Linked DNA regions of Elephas maximus indicus. The protein of the gene in region 1 interacts with the protein of each later gene in a biochemical or structural test. Links are inferred from orthologs where the notes say so. Each region holds a gene or a part of one and is shown in the gene's direction. Other genes may lie near its edges. The genes, in order: IRAK1, IRAK4 and PELI1.

Region 1 (7,758 bases):
CGGTTCTTTTTGATCCTTTTTTAATTAAAAACACCAAAAAAAAAAAAAAAACTAGAAACTTGTTCTTCCAAAGCAGAGAGCATTATAATCACCAGGGCCAAAAGCTTCCATCCCTGCGCCATTGCTGCTTCTGAGGCCCGCGTTCACAAGAGGAATGGGTCTCTGGCCCTTTGGGTGGCTGGGCTGCCCTCAGGACCCTCGAGAGAAAGCTGGGTGGGAGGTACTCACCCTGAAGCTGGTGTTCAGTATTAGCAGTGGGCCGGGTGGGGGAGAGTCGGCCAGGAGACCACTGGCGCTGATGTCCTGCCACTCCCAGGTGGGTGTCCCCATGTGTAAATGCACGTGATTTCTGACCAGAAGTGAAGGCAATGCCGGAGTTAGCCCGCGTGGGCTGCTAGCCCTGCCGGCCGGTGAGGCCCCCTGTTCAGTGCTTCTGTGGAGGACGATGGGTGCAGAAAGGGTCACAGAACTTGAAGCCTGCTCCTTCCCTTGCTACCAAGGCCGCCTTTTTCTGTTTGAGTTTATTCCTGCTTCAATCAATAACAGCCGCTCCAGAGTCAGTAGTTGATGAATATATGACCAAATATGACCAGGACTGTTACTAACTACGTGCCGGCCCGAGTATCCGGACACTGTAGCGCGTGCTGTGTTTGCGCTCCTTTCTCCTTCCTGCCCTGCCCTTGCCTTGTCTTTCTGGGGGGTTTCTGTTTGGGTTTGGTTTGGATTTGATTTTTCCTTTTGTGTTCCAAACATGAGACACTCTCTACTGGTCCTCTTAACTGTGGTGTTGAGGCTTATATTTGTGTAGTTTTTGGTGGGTGAAAGGAACTTTGCTAAGTAAATCTCTTACGTGTTTGAACTGAAGTCTGTATTGTAACCATGTTTAAAGTAATTGTTCCAGAGACACCATTTCTTTACAAATGAACAAAAATTGGAGGGAGGAGGCCGGTGACTGAAATGAGAGGGGCTACCTCTTCCCCCGTTCCGGGGAAATCTGAAGAGATGGCCCCCTGCCCAGGTCAGCCACAACCCCCCCAAAAGACAAAAAGACAAAAGAGAGTCCGGTTCTGGCTGACACGTGGCCATCCTCTAAGAGCAAAACCCCTTTCATACCACCCAGTGGATTCTTTTGGCTTCACCCCACCCCCACCCCAAGATTACTCACATCAGAGTTATTTTTAAGGAAAGACAAGGTGGCATTTGCGAGGGTAGCCAGGAGAGGACTGGATGTGTGCAGCTGCCTTCGCTTAAGTGGGGAGGGAGGGTGGATGGCCTAAGTGGTGGGGCCGGGAGGTCCTCGGAGGGGTCTGGCCCAGCTGGCGCTGGGAGGTGAGTGCTCCCCGCCAGAAGCAGCTCCTCCTGAACAGGCCTGGCGTTTGGATGATCCTCTCCAAGGCGGGTCCCGCGGAAGTTACCATTAAAGACACAGCATCCCCTCCCACCCCATTCATATGCACAACACCAATGTGATGTCCCAGGGCAGTAAGTTGACTTGGGAGGGGGCTCTCTGATCCCTGGCAAAATGTGGCATTGAGAAACCCCCTTCCCTTCCCTCAGAGAAGCTGTCACCCAGCATTAGACATTGTTTGGGGTTCATGGGACACATCTCTGCTCCGTGTCCGGCAGCCCTCCTTGGAAAGGCCAGGGACAGTGCCGGTCGTGGTGGCCACTTGCACGGGGAGGGAGGGGCAGTAGCTACAAAAACCAGGTGGGGGAGGGCTGCCCTCCGGAGGCGCAGTTACACTCCCTGTCCCAGCCTGGAGGCCAGTGACACGGGCCACCCAGCCCGGAAGCCTGTCCGAGGATGGGGGAAGTGTGGAGGGTAGGGAGAGCCTGGGGCAGACTCAGCCTTGATGGCATTAACCTTCGGGTTTTGTGTTTCGGGACAATTACTTTAGAAAATAAGTAGGTCGTTTTAAAAACAAAAAAAATATTGATTGCTTTTTTGTAGTGTTAAAAAAAAAAAAGGGTTCTTTGTGTATAGCCAAATGACTGAAAGCACTGATATATTTAAAAACAAAAGGCAATTTATTAAGGAAATTTGTACCATTTCAGTAAACCTGTCTGAATGTACCTGTATACGTTGAAAAACACCCCCACGGAATCCCTGTAACCTATTTATTATATAAAGAGTTTGCCTTATAAATTTACATAAAAATGTCCGTTTGTGTCTTTTGTTGTAAAACCCAGTGATTTTTCATAAGGTTCTTTTACTATTCGAAAAGATGGGCAGCACGCAGTTTTATTTTATTTTTGTAAGGTTTTTAATACATGTGAAGCAAAGAATACTCAGCATGCCTTTCTAAGTGACGCGTTTGCACCTTTTGTTGGGAAGTACTGTATCCTGTGCTGTTAGCATTCTCGATAAATCTCTCTGTGAAAGTGACTCAAGGTCTGGGCTTTCATTGTCAGAAGTCCCCCTCCCAGGTCACACGGGTTTCCTGACCGTCTCTGGCTTGCCCTTGCCACAGATGGACGGGGTTGAGGCCTGGCAGAGCAGAAAGAAGGGATGCGCTCTTCGTCTGCGGAGGCCACCTCTTTGGGGTGCTCCAAGTCCTGAGGACAATGGGGAACCCCAGAAGGGCCGGCCAGGTCTGCCCTGCCTCCATCTCTTCCAGTCCTTCTAATCACAGCACAGGGACTGGGGGCGGGAGGGTCTGCGTGTCCCTGCCAGGGGCGGGGAGCATCTGGGTGCTTTTGGACCCCTTCTCCCAGCTCTGGCTCTTCCTGTCTCGAACGTCAGTTGTGACCTCTGCATTGGCCTTGGCTGCCTGATGACCAGGCCGCTTGACCCAGCAAGGGCATGCTGACAGATTGCCCTAAGGGGGCCCTGTGGGCCACAAGAGCCTGGTTCCCCAGGAGCGGAAGGGGTTTATAGGCCTGTCCCCCCATCCTCTCTGGTTCCCAGTCAGGGTATGGGCTCTCGGTAGCTGTTTGCCCTGGCTCCAGACTGAGGACGCTGCAGATGCTGGACGCACACGTACTGGAAGGTACACTCAAGTCCTGGCCCTGAATGGAAACTGAAAGGGAGGGGGACAAGATCCCACTCGTAGGCATCTGGACTGTTCTAGGAGCTGACAGCCTGCATGAGCAAGGAGGCCCCAGGCCCTGCTCCCCTGAAGCTTAGCATGTGTGTGGTCATCTCAGATGGTAGGGTGTGTCTCAGGAAGGGCTGTCTCCTGAGAAGTCCTGTGGAAGAAGCTCAGTGGGGATAGATTTCAGGCCCTGTGGGAGGATCTGGCTTCTGGAAGCAGCCCTAAGTCCCTGGGAACACAAGCTGGGGATGCTCCTTTGGGGTCAGGATTGAGAGGGGCCAGGAAGCTGGCGGAGAAGACTTATTGGCAGCTGGAGAAGCCAACTGAAGAAGGAACAGTCCTGCTCCTGGGGACTCCCCGTCTAGTGGGGTGGTGGCCCTGTGGTGAGCAGGATGCACAAGAAGTAAAAGGTGCCGGGTGGACTGCAGTCAGCTCTGTCTGCCGAGGGACCGGAAAAGGTTCGCCACAGCTGTTGGACAAGGAGAATGTTCCAGGCCAATCCAGTGGCATGTGCAAACTCCAGGACACAGAAAACCCTGCATGTACATTTTTGGAACCCTGCAGAGTTCTGAATTGCTTAAGGCTGCTGCTCTGTGGAGAGAGTTAGAAATGAGAGGATGGGCAGGGGCCACATCGTGACAGCCATGTGTGCTGCAAAAAGGAACTGGGACCCCATCAGAGGGCTCCAGGACCCCGGGAAGAGTGTAAGCAGGGAAGGTAATAAAGCAGGCGGGGGCCAGTGGGGAAGGGCTGAGCCCCAGAGATGATCAGGGGACGATGGGAAGATAGTGGCTGCTGAGGTGTGGGGTAGAGGAGTGGAGGGGTGGCCCAAGAATCCAAGGAAATCAGGGTGGAGAACATTTTGAGAGTGGGCAAGAGACACAAACGTGGCTAAAGAAGTCAAACTAGCTGAGCAGAGTTCGAGGTGGTGACTGGGGGAAGCCAGACCCTGCTGTCCTGCCCCAGGGGAAGTGAGAACTGCCTGAGAAGTGTGACAGCAAAACGGAGGAGAGACAGCAGGAGGTGAAGGTGATGCGGGGAGGCACCAAGATCGGTTTTTCGGTCAGAAGAGACTTAGGTGTATGTGCTCATTGGAGGGAGCCAGTAGAGAAGGAAAGTAGAGGAGCTAACACTTGGTGGAGCAGGTTTGAAGGAGAGAAGATGGAGCCAGGGCGCCCTCCCTGACTGGAGTCAGCCAAGGGGGGCCTTTGTGGAACACCTAACTGACCCTGTCCTGCCCAGAACTCTGATGACTAGCCACTGCCTACCACTTAAAGACCAAACATCTTAACGGGACCTCCAAATGGCTCTCTCATGGTCCGGCTGTAGCCACCTGGAAGCACTCTCCCATTCTGAAACATACTGTGCCTTCGCCGTGCCCTGTGCTTCTGGTGCCCGAAGCGCTCGTCCTCGTCCCTCAGCGCCCCACTTAGCAGGCCGCTCCTCTTGGAGGCCCGCCCGGTTGGGCGAGGTGCAGGTCCGACTTCCCGGGCTCGCGGGAGCAGGGGCTGCGGCCGGGCGCGGGCGCCCCCTTGTGGCCAAGGCTTGCGCGGCGGCGGCCGAGATGGCGGCGGGGCCCGGGCACCGCCCCTTCCGTCCCGCCGGGCGTCGCACGAGGCGACTTAAAGGGGAAGTGAGTCAGTGTCCGTCGACCCGGCCGGCCGAGGCCCGCGCCCGCCGAGGCCCCAGAGGCCCCGGCCCGGCGGCGGCGGCGCTAGGCGGGCCATGGCCGGGGGCCCGGGCCCGGGGGACCCCGCGGCCCCCGGCGCCCAGCACTTCTTGTACGAGGTGCCGCCCTGGGTCATGTGCCGCTTCTACAAGGTGATGGACGCCCTGGAGCCTGCCGACTGGTGCCAGTTCGGTGGGTGGCGGCGGACGCGGGCCGGGGCGGGGGGCGGGGGGTCCCCGGGTCGCCGCTGCCCGCCTGACGCCCCCTGCCCCGCAGCGGCCCTGATCGTACGCGACCAGACCGAGCTTCGGCTCTGCGAGCGCTCGGGACAGCGCACGGCCAGCGTCCTGTGGCCCTGGATCAATCGCAACGCCCGCGTGGCCGACCTCGTGCGCATCCTCACGCACCTGCAGCTCCTCCGCGCTCGGGACATCATCACGGCCTGTGAGTGCCCGCTGGCCGCCGGGGGCCGGGGGCCGGGGGTCGGGGGCCGGGGGCCGGGGGCCGGGGGCCGGGGGCCGAGGGCCGAGGCGCCACTCACCCTCTCCCTTTCCTCCGCCGTGCACAGGGCATCCTCCTGCCCCTCTCCCGCCCCCCACCGCCACCACCCCGCCCCTGGGGCCCAGCAGCATCTCTGTCCCCTCTGAGGCCAAGGCCAGGAGCCCCAGGAAGTCGCAGTCCTCAGCCTCCACCCTCCTCTCCCCAGGTAAGAGCCGGGGCTGCTGGACAAGATGGGTTTGGGGAAGAGGCACCTTGACCGTGGTCTCTCACTTTAACAGGTTCCCAGACCCATCCTGGGCCCCACCTCGGCCCCACCGCACACCCTGCCGTCCCCCGACCAGCACTGCCAACTCCAGCCCCTTGCTCCACCGAGGTGGGTGCCCCTTGCCTCAGGCAAGATTCCAGGCACAGAGGAAGAAAGCGGAGCCAGCAGCCAGCTGGGAGGCAGCTGGGGTGGATTTGGGGACCTGGCTGCCCAGGGCAGAGGGGAGGAGACCCAGACACAGGAGCCCACCTGCTGGGGTCTTGTCCCACAGCAGAGCCCAGAGAGCCCACTGGCTTTCCTGCAGGGGGCCCACCCTGCCCCGTTCTGCTGGCCCCTCCCTGAGATTGCCCAGGGCACCCGCAACTTCTCCGAGGAGCTCAAGATCGGTGAGGGTGGTTTTGGCTGCGTGTACCGGGCGGTGATGAGGAACACGGTGTATGCTGTGAAGAGGCTGAAGGAGGTGGGTGTGTCCTCCGGCGAAGGCGCCAGTTCAGGGTCCCAGGCTGCTGGGTTGCAGAAAGTCCGGGAAAGGTGGCAGTGGGAGTGGTGGGGTGGCCATGGTGAGCAGAGCCTCTCCCCTCCCCTCCCCTCCTCACCGGGGCTGCAGGACGCCGATCTGGAGTGGAACGCTGTGAAGCAGAGCTTCCTGACTGAGGTGGAGCAGCTGTCCCGGTGAGCTTCCCCCTACCAAAATGCTTCCAGGGCTGTGCCTGGCTCTCTGGGCCCCCGCCATGGCCAGGGGGAAAGTGTGGTGAAGCCTGAGGCGAGACACGTAGCCCTCCCTTTGTCAAGCAGGTTTCGTCACCCAAACATTGTGGACTTTGCCGGCTACTGTGCTCAGAGCGGCTTCTACTGCCTAGTCTACGGCTTCCTGCCCAATGGTTCCCTGGAAGACCGCCTCCACTTCCAGGTAGCCCCACCTGACCTGGCACAGGTCCCTGGGCCTGTGGCACACGGGGTCCTGGGGAGAACTGGGCATACAGCCTTGGGCTCAGTATTTGTGAACGAGTCTCACCAGTGGGCAGGGCCCGGGCTCCCGGCTCTCCCTGCAGCCCCTAGCTTAGGGCTCCTCCCGAGGTTGGGTGGCCATTTTCTATGGGTCTCTTTTTTTTTTTTTTTTTTATAATAACTTTTATTAAGCTTCAAGTGAACGTTTACAAATCCAATCAGTCTGTCACATATAAGTTTACATACATCTCACTCCCTACTCCCACTTACTCTCCCCGTCTTGAGTCAGCCCTTTCAGTCTCTCCTTTCTTGACAATTTTGCCGGCTTCCCTCTCTCTCTATCCTCCCATCCCCCCTCCAGACAAGAGTTGCCAACACAATCTCAAGTGTACACCTGATATAATTAGCTCACTCTTCATCAGCGTCTCTCTCCCACCCGCTGACCAGTCCCTTTCATGTCTGATGAGTTGTCTTCAGGGATGGTTCCTGTCCTGTGTCAACAGAAGGTCTGGAGAGCATGGCCGCTGGGATTCCTCCAGTCTCAGTCAGACCATTAAGTTTGGTCTTCTTATGAGAATTTGGGGTCTGCATCCCACTGCTCTCCTGCTCCCTCAGGGGTCCTCTGCTGAGCTCCCTGTCAGGGCAGTCATCGATTGTGGCCGGGCACCAACTAGTTCTTCTGGTCTCAGGATGATGTAGGTCTCTTGTTCATGTGGCCCTTTCTGTCTCTTGGGCTCCTAGTTGTCGCGTGACCTTGGTGTTCTTCATTTTCCTTTGCTCCAGGTGGGTTGAGACCAATTGCTGCATCTTAGATGGCTGCTTGTTAGCATTTAAGACCCCAGACGCCACATTTCAAAGTGGGATGCAGAATGATTTCATAATAGAATTATTTTGCCAATTGACTTAGAAGTCCCCGCAAACCATGTTCCCCAGACCCCCGCGCTTGCTCCGCTGAGCTTTGAAGCATTCATTTTATCCCGGAAACTTCTTTGCTTTTGGTCCAGTCCAATTGAGCTGACCTTCCATGTATTGAGTGTTGTCTTTCCCTTCACCTAAAGCAGTTCTTATCTACTGATTAATCAATAAAAAAAACCCTCTCCCACCCTCCCTCCCTCCCCCCCCGTAACCACAAAAGTATGTGTTCTTCTCAGGTTTACTATTTCTCAAGATCTTATAATAGTGGTCTTATACAGTATTTGTCCTTTTGCCTCTGACTCATTTCGCTCAGCATAATGCCTTCCAGGTTCCTCCATGTTATGAAATGTTTCAGAGATTCGTCACTGTTCTTTATCGATGCGTAGTATTCCATTGTGTGAATATACCATAATTTATTTACCCAT
Region 2 (7,619 bases), on another chromosome or scaffold:
CTCTTTTTTAACCATACTTTCATCAGTAAGGCTATTTTTTACACTTAGTATAATATGAAAGATTTTATCTTCCATTAAAAGACAGACTCATATTATTTTCAAATATCCCTTTGGCCAGGTCTGTTCAATTCATTTAAAATTATTCAACTTTCATACAATTTTAAGCTTATCCAAGAAAACAATGATTTATTAAATTACCTGTATATATGACTTTTCTTTCCTGGCATTCAAGATGAGACCTTTTCCTGTGCTTGTGTGCTTTTTCCCGAAACTTTACTGTTATCACTACATTTGGATTATCAGCACTGTGATTCAGTTCTGAAAAGGATTTGGTTTCCACGAGGCTTCCAAACTTCTTGTTGACAAAATGATGGACAGCTTTTCTGTGGTCTTTGTTTGCATCCGGTTTAAAGGTAAATTTGGAATTTTCTTTCTTTGCATCCAAATACTTAAAAAAGTCAAATGCTTCTTCATCAGACACCAAGTGACAGAGTTCTTTATACTCAAGATTTGGTTTTACAACAATTTCGCTGTTTTTTCCTACAGTTATTAAATAAGGAAATTTCTGCCGAACAGCACTATGTAAACTGGCCCGCTGGTTTTTGTCAAGGATTCTGCCTAACGAGAATTCAGGAGATGGTCCCACTAGCTCAATTTTAGAATTCCACGTCTCTTTTACATCACAAGCAAACTGATTCAGTAATTCATTAGTTTTTTCATCTAATAAGGAGCCTAATATATCAGCTTTTTCTTCTTCACATTTGGAAGCTCCATTATTGATCATATCTTCATTTTCTGAACTAGACTGATGATTTTGGTCACCATCGGAACACCTAGCTAAAGTACCAAGTTCTTGGTTACGCCCACCTTCAAAGGATAAATTGTGAAGGTCTAGTTTTGGTTTTTTGGCATAATTATTTGGCTCAGGTAGTATGTTATTAATCTCGTACAGAGGTTCATCACTGGCTTTATTAACTAACTGTCCCCGCTCATCAATCTCAGTAACAACGAAGTCCCTTGGTGAGCTTTTTATAGTGCCACGAAATCCAGCATGATCAGTAATATAACACAAAGAACTGAACCTGTTTCTATAATCTGTATCCTCTTCCATTCTTACATAATAATGTCTACAAAAGAAACAAAGAGGCAGTCAGTTACCAGAAAGAGAAGTTGTGGAAAACAAAACAAAAAAAGGAACAGGTTTGCTGGATTTATTTAATTCTCTTTGTCCCTTTCAATCCTGAGTTCTCTTAAATAGAATTATTAATTCATGAATATATACCATGTGTTCTTTGACTCTCATACACCAAGATGAATGAATAGGCAAACATTTTCTAATATAACTTAAAACTTGACTCTTCATCTACCCCAGACTTCCATCTATTACCTGGATTTTAAATGGGTCAGTTTCAAGCTTACCTTACAAATAGTATTTGTAGGACCACAAAAAATAGACTAGAACATAGGACTGTTTACAATGATTTGTCCAAACCCCATCCGTAGAGTTGAAAATTTCATTAATTTCAGAGAACTTAGGACTAGAGTTTCATATGCTAAGGGTGCAGGGACAGGAGACAAGAAGAAGATAGAAAGAAATAGGACTTAATTTAGTCCCGGGCCTTAAGCCTTCTCTAAAGCCCCCATTAGGACAGACACGAACTTTTGAAGTTGATCCCAAGGAGATTTCCAACCATCATTATCTTTGCCATCAGAGAAAAGGAGACCCTTATAGAGCTTTGTGGGAGCAGTACACAAAAGAATAGTCCTCTGAGGAAGACTACTCACTCATCAAACAACCCACGGCTACCATACCACATGGAGCTATGATAAAGGTCAGTTTCCCAGAGACCCCATACCAGTCAGATCATCACAAACCCACACATTCTAGGAAATTTATCATCATCAGGGCCTTCACCCCCATTTATACAACATATTCTACTAATCCGAAACAATTTACCAGCCTCCTCTTCTCAATTCTTTCCATTGTGCCATGTAGAAATTACAGCAAATTTTCTATATCCTAATTTCCCAGGGAATATACAAGGATATTTACTTAATTCCTTAATTCCTGCATCCCCTTCAGTGTCTTGCTCTAATTGAAACCCGGCTGTTTCCCCAGACTACTACTTCTGCAGTCCTCTCAAGCAAAGGCTATTTTTCCTTTCACACGCCACGTGCCTTAGGTCTGGAGGTCATAAATATTTTCCATTTCCCACTGCTCCTTCCAAACTATTTCTTCCTCCTCTACTTTCAAACTTCCCAGTGCCTCTGAAGTTCATGCCATCAGGCTTTACCATCTGCTGTCATCTTCACTCTAATCCCGAGGACTACTCTTCATTCACTGATGACTTTAACACCTGGCTTACTATCTTCACATCCAGCACGACTTCCATGATCATCCACATCCATCTTTCATTCAATATCATTGTCCCTCAGTTCCTCAATCTCCCAAGTCAATTTCATCTGTCACCCCCTTCCGTGGTCACACCTTCTCATTTCCATAAACTGCAACCTACAAAACTTGCACTTTAAGTATCTAGTTCTCTGATCACCCCTGCTATCTTTCCATCAGCCCTACTTAATACGTCCCTTCCGGAAAATCTTAGACATTGTGAAGGTCTCTAATCACTGCTTCTACTACTGACTCACTCTAGTCCATGCTCCACAAAACAGCCAGAATGGTACTTTTAAAGGTAAATTAAATCATATCAGAACCCTGCTTAAAACACTCCATTCACATGTATTAATAAAATACAAATTCCCTACCCTGGTTTTCAAAGACTATGATTCTGGACCCTGTCTATTCTCCAAAAGCATCTTGTACCCTTTCCCCATTATCCATTACACTCCAGCTATACTGGCCTTCTTCAGTTCCTTTAAACTAACTGTTTCTGCAGCTGAAATTGTCCCTTCTCCAATTATATAGCTGCACCTTTTAGTAATCAGATCCTCAGAGGGGTCTTCCCTGACGAGTAATCTAAAGAAACTAGCACACTCTCTTCACGAAGCCTTATTTTAACTGTCTTTATAGCTTTTTTATTTAATATTTTCTTTGTCATTTACATTGTTTCAATAAAATGTTAGTTCTGTGATGTCTGTCTTATTTATCACTGATTACCCCACATTTAGAACAGTGTCAAGCACATATTAGGCACACAATTCAACATATTGACTGTTGAATGACGCCACTAGTACAAAATATGAGCTGTAAGAGTAAAGAGGAGGAAAGAATGGCTCACTTTTGCCTGTGATAATAAGGAAAGGTATAACACAAGAAGTGGTCATCTAAGTAAGTGTGGCCTAAAAAGGGTTCGAGATATAGAAATGAGGCAGAGAGAATATCATCAAATAATGTACAAAAGATGCAATGTGTTAGAGAAAAATAAACATCCCAGATTGGGGGGGGGGGGCTTTTCTAGTACAGTTCTGGAAAATACAGCTAGATTAGCGTCAGACTATGGAAGACACCTAATGCCCTGCCAAGGACTTAGAATCCACTGGGTGACCAATAGATGGCAACTGCAGATGTCTTAGAACGACATAATCCAAAAGATGATTTAGTAAAATGACTCTGATGGTACTGATCAGTATGCATCTGATGAAACAGCGATGTGATCAAGAGTAGAGCTGCAGAAACTGGCCGTGGAAACAATGATCTCTTTCCCTATGAAGACATTTTAAACTAGAGGGGTAAGTAGAGCAAGGTGGAGGGCGGGAGGGGTGGGAAGGCAACAACAAGGGAATACCAACCAAGCGAGCATCTTGGGACAAGAGCGGACAAATGCAGAAACCGAAGTGTGGCAGAAATGTGAGACAGGTTTGGAGGTGAGAGTTTGGAAAACCTTAAAAAGGGTTTGGAACCGAACTGGAGGGCAGCCAAGGAGCCCACGTGGAGTTAAGTATAAATGTGCAAGACTCCTAAGCAACAGGGTTTGCAGATGAGGATTTGGGGTGTAGAGGTGGATTTAGTTTGGTTTAGCCAAAGTTGGAGAACTACTAGTTTGAGGAGGGATCCTGAAAAAGTAGTAGAAATGAGAGAGAGAGCTCCCTTTTCCCCATGCTCTTCCTTTCCAACTGTGCAATATCTGCCGAACGGGTTCCCAGAGAAGCAGAACTAAAGCCTGTGTCGCCGTCTCACTCTTCCCTGAGGTATTAACACACTTTTTTTTTTTTTTTTTTTACCAGTAGCTCCACTTGCTTCTTCAACCGTCCCCACCCCTCGGTGTGTCACTGCCCCACGTCGCCTTCGTCTGGGGGGCAAAGGATCGGGATAACCAATACAAGCTTTATCATCGTCCCAAACACAATCCCCACACCGTGGAAGAAGCAACGCGCAACACCCGGTCTACCTCGCATCCAGGCGAAGGTAAGTCCCCGCACAACCCTGTGCGCATGCCCGGAAGCCTCATCTATTTACCGTCCTCCGGGAGAGTATTTAAAGGGGCAGGCTCCCACGTGAAGAAGCGCCTTAACCAAACGTTCTTCGTGGAGCGGCCTGACGGCGCAGAGAGGAAGAAGCGGGGCCTGGAGCAGGCGGAGCCCGGGGCGGGGCCTGACGGGAAGTGCTGTCCTCGCTTCGCTGCTTCCCGCTGCTCGGGTTGCTCCGCCGCTGGCTTCGCCGCGAGGCGCCCCGCCCCCGCGCAGTGCCCCACGCCCCGGGCAGGTAAGGGATTGCCGCTGTCCGCTCTTCCTGCTACCCGGAGGTTGTCCTCCTCTGCTCCAGGCTTAGTAGGGTGGCTGTTTCGGGCTGCAGATCGCTTTATGCCTTATATTCAAAGTGAGAAAAGTTTAGAGAGGAAGTGGTTGCATGAATCACCTCCGGCGTCGAGATTTGGAGTGAGTCCCTGGAGATCCACAAGTTAGTCTGACTGGGAGGAAGCTGAGGCATCGAGAGAGCCGTCACCCAGCTGTTCAGTGGCGCCGTCTAATCTCGCCTCAACTTTCTCAACTCTGTGGCTTTTTGTTCCCTGAACCCGTTTACAAAATGAAATCTTGTCTCCTAAAAACCAGGAAGTAAGCTCAGCACGCGGCCGAGATGGGAGGCATTCAGAGGCTCCACACGATTCTGATTAGCTTGTTTCCTCCAGTTTCTAAGCTTCCAGGACATTAGAGAGTGAAGAGTTGTAAGAAACAGGTAAGTACATTATCACATACGAAAAGTGTACCTGACGGCGTGGAAGCAAGAGAGGAGACAAAGGGATAAAAAACAAACGTTGAAAAAGCTAGCAAGCACATCAGCCAATTTGGAATGAGAATAGCGCTATTAGTGCCTCAAAATGCTATATGCCCAGTGCCCAAGGAGTCCCTAACAGTAAAAAAAAAAAAAACAGTAGAGGATATTAAATTCTGCTTTTCCCCTCTCTAGGGATAAAAAAAAAAAAAGGGATAATCCTTGAAGAAGACTGACAGAAAGTTAGAAATTGTTTTATTCTCCTTTTTTGATGGTAAACGTTTGATTTTGCTTTCCACCTGTCTAAACAGAGCTCCTGATCTTCCAGGCAAAACTTAGACCTTCTAGTCTCTTCTCCATCTCAGTAAATGGCAGGAAGCTGTTGTTCAGGCCAAAAACCTTGGTACTGTCCTCTCACCCTCCACATCAGCACATAGGATTCTTTGGCTCTACCTCAGAATAGACTCATCCTCCAAGGACTTGTGCCTTCTCTTCTACTACCCTAGCCCAACCTCCAGCATCTCCCACCTGGATTGTTGGTGTAGTTGAATTGATCTCTCCCTGCTCCTCTGCCTTTAATCCAATATAACTTAATTTCAGCAGCAGCCCCAGTGTCTTTTAAGACATGATTATAGTGGATGTCTTGCTTCTTCTCAAAACCTCATCTGTCTTCTCATCTCACTCAGAGGATAAACCAAAGTCAATAAAAATGAGATCTGGGTACCTGGTCCCCTTACCTTACTAACCACATCTGCTACCCTCTTGCTCCCTCCCCTTCAGTCTTATTGTCTTCTTGCTGTTTCTCAAAGGGCCCACTTGGGCCTTTGCATTTATTATTCCTTTTGCCCAGGACACTTTTCTCACAGATATCTCACAGGCTGGCTTTCTTGCTTCCTCCAAACCATTGATCAAATGGCACCTTCTTATTGAGGCCTACTCTGACCACCTTATTTAAAATTACAGTCTGGTCTCTGTTTATTTTTTTCCACTGCCCTTGGTACCATCAAACATATTATTGTTGCCATTGTTAGCTGTCCTCAAGTCAGCCCCCGACTCTTGTCGACCCTGTGCACAACGGACCAGACTGTTGTGATCCACAGAGTTTTCATTGGCTCATTTACAGAGGAGATGGTCGTTTCTTCCTAGTCCCTCTTAGTCTGGAAGCTCTGCTGAAACCTATTCAGCATCATAGCAGCACGCAAACAGCCACTGACAAACAGATGGTGGCTGGGCTTGAGGAGCATTGCAGGAATTGTACCCAGATTTCCTGTGTGGGAGGGAGAATTCTACCACTGAACTCCGCTACGCCCATAAATGTATTTTAGATATTATTTGTTTTTTGTCTGTCTTCTGCAATTAGAATATAAGCTCCACAAGTTCAGGTATTTTTGATCTGACTTGCCTATTAATCTCTGGGGCCTGGAACAATGTCTGGCACAAAACAGTAAATATTTAATGAATGAATGATATTTTACGTTTAATATACCCAGAGTGTTTTAAAGCATTTACCGTTGAGTTAGATCATGTTCGAGAAAGATGTGTTATAATTTATGAATATATGTTTAAGGACAGCCCTGTATAATTTAATAGGTCCGGAAGGCATCACCAGCTTTTGTTCATAATGATGCGTTCAGTTGTCTGAAAATAAAGGTTATTTATCTGGTATATTTTGCTTACAAAGGCATGGAAGTAAAGAATGTGTTTTAGAAAGGTTATACATGTCTTAAAAGTACTGATATTTTCCTTTTTTAAAGATATCTGGTGGAGCAGTGGTTAAGTGCTTGGCTGTTAACCAAAAGGTTGGTAATTCGAACCCACCAGCCACTCTGCAGGAGAAACATGTGGCAGTCCGCTTCTGTAAAGATTTACAGCCTTGAAAGAAGCCCCACGAGGCACTTCTACTCTGTCCTATAAGGTTGCTACAAGTCGGAATCAACCCAACGTCAACAAATTTTTTTTTAATATATGTATTTTTTTGATCATCTATTGTATGCTATGTTTAGGTCTTTTTCATTTGTTGATCTTAAATCTTATGGCAACTCTTGAGTTAAATATTACTATCTCTGTTTTTCAGCTAAAGAAACCAGGGTCTGGAGAAATTTGAGTTATTAACCCTGGTCACAGTTGGTTTGTGGAAGAGCTGAGATTAGAACCCAAACTCACGCACCCTCGAAGTCCATCTTCTCTCCTCCCCTCTACACTCCGGCCTTCTGATCGAGTAGTAATGAAGCATAGTCATAAAACTTTATTAATTCATTTAATGAGAGCCCCCTGGGTTGTAGAAGCAGATGCTGATTTTAGTATATTCCTCAATTGCCACATCACCATGTGCGCTTGTCTGAGTTGTCTTAGTTGAAAATATGAATGATTTTTCTATACTATGAGAATTAATGATATAACGAAATAGTCACAGAGTTATTTCTGTATTTACTTATTTGTTTGTAAGCAG
Region 3 (7,985 bases), on another chromosome or scaffold:
TAGTAATTTTTGGTTAGGTGAAACACGTGCAAAATTTAGTCTTGTTAAATGGCTGATTTTGTTTCGTTCCTTTAAAAAGTTTTATAATTTTCCTGGTAGGAAAACAAATTACTTTTGGATTAGTTTGATCCATTCAAGGCTTGTTTTTAAGCTCCTTTATGGTGGATCTAGAGGAGTAGCCTTCATCCTAGGGCTAATTTTGTCTCATATGTAAATCTTAGTCTCTTCTATATATGCCCTATAAGCATGCTCCATATAGTCAGTGAAGTCTCATCACTCCGTCTGGAGGAAACACGAACGATTCCCAGACCCATGTGGGCTCCCTTGTAATTGTTCTTTCCTCAAAGTTATTTTTGTCCAGCCTCATGGTGTGTGATTGATTCTCCACATGTACAAGCTGTGCAGATTTCTACAACTATCTCTCTGCTTAGCTCACTCCTCTCTGGAAATCTGACCTGCATGTTCTAACCACCTTGATTTCCCTGAACTCTCATCTCTATCTCCTCAACTCAGCAAGATTTAGGGGTTCAAATTCCCCCTCCCTGCACTATAGTCTGGAAATTGCTCCTGACAGAATGCCTGGGTGATATTAGGATTCACCTCATTCTTCCCTCTCTTATCAGGGATCACAGTCCTGTATTGCCTGTTGCCTAATGTCTAAAAATGGTTGTTTCCTGAATTTTGTCCATTTTTCTAATTGTTTATGGTGGGTTGGTGATTTCAGATTCTGTTGCTCTCTCATGTCTGGTTGTGGAAGTCACTACATATTTTTTAGTCATGTATATTTAAATAACTAACAAGCTATACTTCGGCACAAATATGAGTCTGCCTTCTGACCCTACCCGAAAAGATTCTCACTGAAGCCAGTAGTTACCACCTTAGTTACTACACCACGGGGAAGTGATGAGGGAGAGGCTTGGACACCCAGGGAAACAAGGTGGTATTCAGAGGGGCTAAAAAAAAAAAAATTTTTTTTTTTTTTTTTTTTTAGGGCAGCTATTTATCAACAAGGCTTCATATGGAAGTCTTTAACTATGTTTTACAATGAGTGTGGTCACACCGATGTGAAAGAGTGGAATATCAGCTATTTCCCAGGCATTTTCATGATCTTCTTGCTTATTCCTTAAGTGCTGGTGTTTCCCAGGGTGCTAGTATTGGCTCCTCCTTTTCTGCTGTGCATACTGTCTAGTGACCTCATCCGTTCCTATAATTTCAACTACCATGTGTATGGTGTTAGTTTTTCAATAATATCCTCTGTCCAGATCTCTCTCCAGAGCCGTAGAGTAAAATACATATATATATAGAGAGAGAGAGAGAGTGCCCTGGTGGCACAGTGGTTAAGACTTATGGCTGCTAACCCAAAGGTCAGAAGTTCGAATCCACCAACCACTCCGTGGAAACCCGATAGGTAAGTTCTACTCTGTTCTACAGTGTCACTATGAGTTGGAATCAACTCAACAGCAACAGGTTTCGGTTTTTTGGTTTTCATACACACACACACCCACCCACACACACACATACATACAACTGCCTGCTCCATTTCTCCACCTAGATGCTCCAGAGTCATCTCAAACTCAACCTATATGACGTGAACTCATTAAATTCCCACTGAAAATCTGTTCCTTCTCCTGTATTCTATAACTCAGTGAATCACCATGTCATAATCATACAAGCCACTTCTTTGTCTGGGTAATCACCTCAGTTTTTATTCGGATATCGCCTCCTCATCACAGCCCATGTGCTTTGTGGGAATCTGACTTCTTTGGCTCCAGGGGCAAGGCATATATTTAGTCCTAAGATAATTAGTTTAATACCACTTTTTTTAGTTTATAGACATGTAGCTCAATTCTTGAGACTTATGGAAAGGAGTTGTCTTTACAAAATGACTTGTAGAAGTGACTTTGTTTTATAGTTTCTTCCTGGACCTAGATGAGGAGACATAGCCAGAGGAGTTGTTAGCAGCCATCATATGACCATAAAGTTATTACTAAGGAAAGAAATACACTTATTCCTCAATAATCGGCCATCTCATTATCCAACATTTTGCATTTACAAGAAGTAAAAAGTAAACTATTTGACTATTTTGTACATTAATGACATATGTCTGGCAGTAATGAATGCCAAGGTACAAGGTCAGAGTAACTCCGACTATGATGGTTAAAGTTATGCATTGACTTGGCAGGACGATGTTTCTGAGTGGTTTGGCAGTTACGTAATGATGTGATTTGGCAGTTATGTAATGATGTAATTTGGCAGTTATGTAACGATGTAGTCATCCTTCATTTTGTGATCTGATGTGGTCATCACACCAATTGTCACACAACAACCTGCTCTTTGGAACCTAACCATGCAGATAAGTGAGCAGTGGCTGTACCATGAGACACAGAAGAAACTTGTCCTTCATGACATCACTGAGTTATTGAATCAACTTACCTTGTAGCCTGTCTTTTCACTGGACTTTCTAGTAAGATGGGGCAATAAATATTTTTTACTAGTTAAGTCAGTTTAGAGTTGGGTTTTCTGCTGCTTGCAAACAAAAGCATCAAAGCTGGTAGCTTTTCCTCGCCCTCCATCCCCAAACGCAGGCAATAACTCACTCTAGTCCAGTGCAGTTGCCATTGAGTTGATTCCGGCTCATGGTGACCTCACATGTGTCAGAGTAGAACTACGCTCCATACGGCTTTCAATGACTGATTTTTCAGAAGTAGATCACCAGGCCTTTCTTCTAAGGTATTCCTGGGTAGACTTGAACATCTAACATTTTGGTTAGCAGCTGAGCATGTTAACTGTTTGCACCACCTAGGGACTCCAATTACTTACCAACCAAAACAAATACACTTACTCCTCATTTATCGACTATCTCATTATCCAACATTTTACATTTACAACAAGTAAAAAATCAACTATCCGACTATTTTGTGCCTTAATGACAAATGTCTGGCAGTTCCTTCCCATCAGGTTGATTCAGACTGACAGTGACCCTATAGAACAGAGTAGAACTGCCCCACAGAGTTACCAGATGTAAATCTTTACAGAAGCAGATTATCCCATCTTTTTCCTGTGGGGTGACTCTTGGGTTTGAAACACTGACCTTTCATTTAGCAGCCCAGTGCTTTAACCACTGTGCCACCAGGGCTCCTGAGTTACTTACTGTTGTTGTTAAGTGTCATCGAGTCAGTTCCAACTCGTAGCGACCCTTTGTAAAACAAAAGGAAACACTGCCCAGTCCTGCATCAACCTCATAATTGTTGCTATGCTTGAACTCATCATTGCAGCCATTGTGTCAATCCATCTCCTGTGGGTTTTCCTCTCTTTCACGGACCCTCTACTTTACCAAGCGTGATGTCCTTCTTCAGGAACTGGTCCCTCCTGATAACATGTCCAAAGTACATGAGATGAAGTCTCTCTATCCTCACTTCTAAGGAGTATTCTGGCTGTACTTCTTCCAAGATATATTTGTCCATTCTTCTGACAGTTCATGGTACATTCAGTATTTTTGCCAACACCATAATTCAAAGGCATCAATTCTTCTTCCGTCTTTCTTATTCATTATTCAGCTTTTGCATGCATATGAGGCAATTGAAAATATCATAGCTTGAGTCAGGCACACCTTAGTCCTCAAGGTGACATCTTTCCTTTTAACACTTTAAAGAGGTCTTTTGCAGCAAATTTGTCCCATGCAATATGTTTTCTGATTTCTTGACTGCTGCTTCCATGGGCGTTGATTGTGAATCCAAGTAAAACAAAATCCTTGACGACATCAATATTTTCTCTGTTTATCATGTTGCTCGTTGGTCCAGTTGTGAGGATTTTTGTTTTCTTTGTGTTGAGGTGTAATCCATACTGAAGGCTATAGTCTTTGATCTTCATCAGTGAGTGCATCTATTACTGACAGTGTTGTACTTCAGGATAGATCTTGAAATGTTCTTTTGATGATGAATGTGACACCATTCCTCTTCAATTTGCCATTCCTGGCATGGTAGACCACCACCCTCCTCCACTGCCTATTCATAGCTGGGTGCCCAGTATGGGCACACTTAGCTGACTAGCCCAGCAACATACTCATACCTTGGTTCAGACTTCTATTGTCCAATAAAAGTCTGCCATAAAGCCAATTTTCAATGTTCCATTCATCTTTTGAATTTATAGCTACTTTATGAAAATTGTATTTCTTAAAAATTGTAGGCCTTAAAATGAACAAATTTGGATTATTTTACACTACTCAAGTAAAATATAGCGATCTTAGCCTTAACTTTACCTTTGCTGACCTTAAAGTTAGATGTGACTAATTGTGTTAAGAAATTAATATGGGATTCTGATAATGGTGATGTGTCTAACAGTTTTACAACGTAATTGTTAAATTTATTGGATACAACTACATTTCTACACGTTTGAGGTAAAGAAAGTTAAATTTAAGATAGAGGGAATTTGGTTGAGGGAAGCCAGGGAAAGGGACATTTGTGCTTTAGGATTTCTGTAAGAAAATTCAGCAGCAGGGAAGACCGAAATACCACGAGGAAGTTAGATTTCATTGGGCACTTGGGAGCGGTGAGGTTAGGAGTTGAGGGTGGAGCAAAGCAGGAAGGAGCAGCCAAGAGCGGGATCCCCAACAGCACAATAATACAAGACCCGGCCTTGTTCAGCCAACAGCAGCACTGAATATAATCTCTTTCGTTAGTGTGTCGGTCACCATGGTAACGGTGGGGCGTGGGCAAGTCTCTTCCCCATGAGCATGCGCAGTGCAAAGCGAGCCCCGGAAGGGTCCCCAAAAGCAACGTGCGTATCCCTTTTTTCTTCAACCGGAGAACTACAACTCCCAGGAGCCCTCTCGGCGCGGCGGGAACGCCTACCGCAGAGGCCCTGCCCTGTCCCCCTCCCTCGCCCCGCCCACCCACTTGTCCCCTCCCCTCCCTCCGAGTGTGTGTCAGTGACCCAGAGGCGGTGCGAGGCGGAGGGGACCGTCGGGGGGCGCCGCCGCCGCCGCCTCCACCAGCAGCACCAGCCCTGCCGCGCGACTGGATTTGTCTCCAGCCCTCCGGGAGCGCGCCACAAAGCGGGCCCCGCGCCTCTCCCTCCGCCCGCGGCTTCTCAGCGCTCGGCTCCGCGGTCAACTTCTCCTCGCTGGGCTTGGCCGGCTGGCGAGGAAGGCGGCGGCGGCGGAACGCCGGGCTGTCTCCTGGCGCTCTCCGCACACACAATTCTCCCGCGCTCTCTGGGTCTCGGGGGCCGTGCCGGCATTCTGGCCACCAACAGTCGTCCGGTGAGCGTGGCGGCGGCCACGGTGTGCCGCGGGAGGGCTCGCAGCGGGGCGGGCGAGGGGTGCGGGGGAGGCGGGCGCGCAACTTCCTCGGCGGCTTCGCGGAGCGGCCGCCCGGCTCTCGCCCGCCCGCGCGTCCCCGCGCCGGGGGCGGCCGTGCGCGGAGTTTGCGGCGCCTCCATCCCGCGCCCTCGAGGAGGAAGCGCCTTTGTCAGGAGCGGGCCCGGCGCGCCCTCCCCCACCGGCGGGAGCGGCGCGCGCGGCCAAGCCCGAGTCCCCGCGCCCCTCGCGCGCCGGGGACCCTCCGACCACGCTCCTGTCCCGGAGGGGAGCTGTGCGGCCGGCGTGGAGGAAAAGAGAAATGAAAGGGAAACAAAGGGGGCGACGGGTTTTTCTTTTGTTGGTGCGAATCTGGTAACTTCTTTCTCCTTCCTTACATAACGCAGACTCCCAACTTAGTCATTCTTTTTATTGTTATGATTATTGTCATCATCCCTGCGTGGCCCTCGCATCTCCTTTCATCTTGGCATCTCAGCATTTTAAAAACACTAATTAATTACACCTCCGGGGCCCCTGCGAAGCAAGTTAATGAGCCCGTTTCTGTAGGTGGGTAAACTGAGGTTCGGGAGAGCTCTGTAATTGATGGATACCCTTGATCTTCTTCCGCGCTGGTGTCTGAGGACCTGAAAGCGTTTATGAGTCAGAGTTCGTTCTCCAGTGCCCTGTGGAGAAGTTAAAGATGCTCATTTTATTTACATGTGAACTGAAGCCTAAAAGAAGCCTGGGTAATTGTTAGGTAGTTCAGACAACAGTTTTTCTTACATAGTGGTTTCAATCTTAAAACCTCAAACTTATTGAAAAAAATGCTCCGAGTTGGAAAAATACCGTAAATCATAAACTCGCCATCTACTTTAATTTTTCTGTGTGCGAGTCACGAGGCAGGAGAGCAGTGATGGAAAGAGGGACATATTTTTAAATGTACGTTTAACAGATTTTGATCACTACACACTGGGAAATGTATCTTGCTTTTAACAGCACCAACAACCTTCCCGTAGTTTGGTCATCAAATTGGATATCAATAAATATTATCGAACGCCTTACAGTAATGTCCTGGTTGTGTCAAGGACTGAAGCTGTAAGCATTAGAAAAGGACTTCTGTTTGTTCTGGTTCAAAGACTTTACTTTTTTCTTGCTCTGCAAAATGTTACTTGGGTTTATAGCAGCCGATCTTTTGTTTCAGAACTGGCATTGTCTTTTTCTACATTGAATATGTATTACTTTTCTAATGCAGGAGAAATGCTGGGTTTTTATTTAATACAGTTTGCATGGTAATGTGAGTTTAAATTTTTGAATTGTGAAGAAGATTCGATTTCTCCAGTTTTTCTGTTTAAGCTCGTGATATGTTTTGTTTATACCTTACAGAGAAGATGTGATCCGGTTTACATCTCTCAAAACGTTGTTCTTATTGGACAGATACAGCATAGAAATTCCTCATGGTTTTTATTCACACCAACAATCTCTCTGGACTAAAATACTTAACTCTGTGGACAAGCTTGTCTTGGTAGTTGAGCAAAACTGAAAGGTACCAGAAATTAAAATCTAGCATCTTTTCTCCTCGTTATTTCTTGCGGTAAATGATGATCAGAATGGTCGTAACCCGGGGTGCTTTATCCATTTATCTTTAATTCTTCTTGAATTTAATTTTGTATAGTTGCCCCCAGATTTTAGATTCTGGTGTTGGCATCAGAAAATAAAACCTGTGTTATTTTGATGTTTGTCCCCATGCCTTTAACCTGTCCCTTTTCTCTAGTGTCTTAAAAGAGATCTTGAGTTTAAAACGAACAATTGGAAAATTGAACAGTTAAAGTGTATGGAAAGTTGCATGTAGTGAAGTGGTTATAATGTCTCATCTAATAAATTTACAGCTTTTAAAGAGGAAACCTTCGCGTAGGTTTTAATTAGCAAGGTAGAAGTGTTGTAACGTAATAGTATTTATTGACTTGAAAAAAGTGAGCTGTAGGTTGTGCCTTAGTGGCAGATTGTGTGTGTGTTTGTATGTGTGTGTGAGAGAGAGAGATGATCTGTGCTCTTGTTAACAGTTAAGTGATTTTACTATTGGTTATGTTTAACTTTTTTTGTAGCACTCACAAACCAGATTTACCAGGAGTATTTGTATTTTAAGGAAGCTGCTAACACAGTGTCTTTGCTCAGTCACTTGAGTCCAAAGGCTGGATTTAGTGTTGACTGGCTAAGTCTGGCATGGCTGGTTTACTCATTTCTTTGGGACCCCTTAAAGGAAATGACTGAAAAGTACAGGGTGGGAAACTGGGTCTAGTACTGCTGAGGCAGATTTAAAGGGGAAGCATAAGTTTGTTTCTACTTGACATCATTCACCTTCTTTTCAGGTTGTCATAATGTCACTTTGCTATTAAGACTTCTGGAATAGGCTTTGCTGTGGTTGTCCAGTAAGTCAGGTGATAAGGACTATAGTAGTTCTGCTTTGTGAAAACTTAGTATTTTTAGACAGAAGTTTCTGTAGTTGATATTTTAAGCCAAAAGACTTGGATTGAAAACGATCTATCATACTCACATGTATCCCTCTTACCCTGGCATATCAATATAGATTTATTTTAGTTTTAATTGAGTCAGAAAAGCTTATATGGATTACTTCATGCAGTTTAATTGTATATGATATATTAAAATTTTAAAATAAGAAATATATGATGGC

What was found.
Region 2: of the proteins of IRAK1 (region 1) and IRAK4, one has a biochemical effect on the other in vitro, tested with the Homo sapiens proteins (2 studies listed by BioGRID). The link is inferred for Elephas maximus indicus from reciprocal best matches to the Homo sapiens genes IRAK1 and IRAK4.
Region 3: of the proteins of IRAK1 (region 1) and PELI1, one has a biochemical effect on the other in vitro, tested with the Homo sapiens proteins (5 studies listed by BioGRID and IntAct, with this or other methods). The link is inferred for Elephas maximus indicus from reciprocal best matches to the Homo sapiens genes IRAK1 and PELI1.

Annotation. Positions count from the first base shown.
Region 1 is NC_064846.1:2,291,467-2,299,224, forward strand, and holds the start of IRAK1 (interleukin-1 receptor-associated kinase 1), read left to right. Parts: upstream 1-4,662; 5' UTR 4,663-4,760; coding exon 4,761-4,896; intron 4,897-4,980; coding exon 4,981-5,148; intron 5,149-5,272; coding exon 5,273-5,410; intron 5,411-5,483; coding exon 5,484-5,578; intron 5,579-5,741; coding exon 5,742-5,930; intron 5,931-6,077; coding exon 6,078-6,142; intron 6,143-6,265; coding exon 6,266-6,380; intron 6,381-7,758.
Region 2 is NC_064822.1:98,441,696-98,449,314, forward strand, and holds the start of IRAK4 (interleukin-1 receptor-associated kinase 4), read left to right. Parts: upstream 1-4,574; 5' UTR 4,575-4,663; intron 4,664-5,010; exon of another isoform or gene 5,011-5,134; intron 5,135-7,619. Other genes in the region: pseudouridylate synthase PUS7L, read right to left, coding at 199-1,111.
Region 3 is NC_064835.1:72,710,692-72,718,676, forward strand, and holds the start of PELI1 (E3 ubiquitin-protein ligase pellino homolog 1), read left to right. Parts: upstream 1-4,919; 5' UTR 4,920-5,260; intron 5,261-7,985. UniProt on the Homo sapiens protein: E3 ubiquitin ligase catalyzing the covalent attachment of ubiquitin moieties onto substrate proteins. Involved in the TLR and IL-1 signaling pathways via interaction with the complex containing IRAK kinases and TRAF6.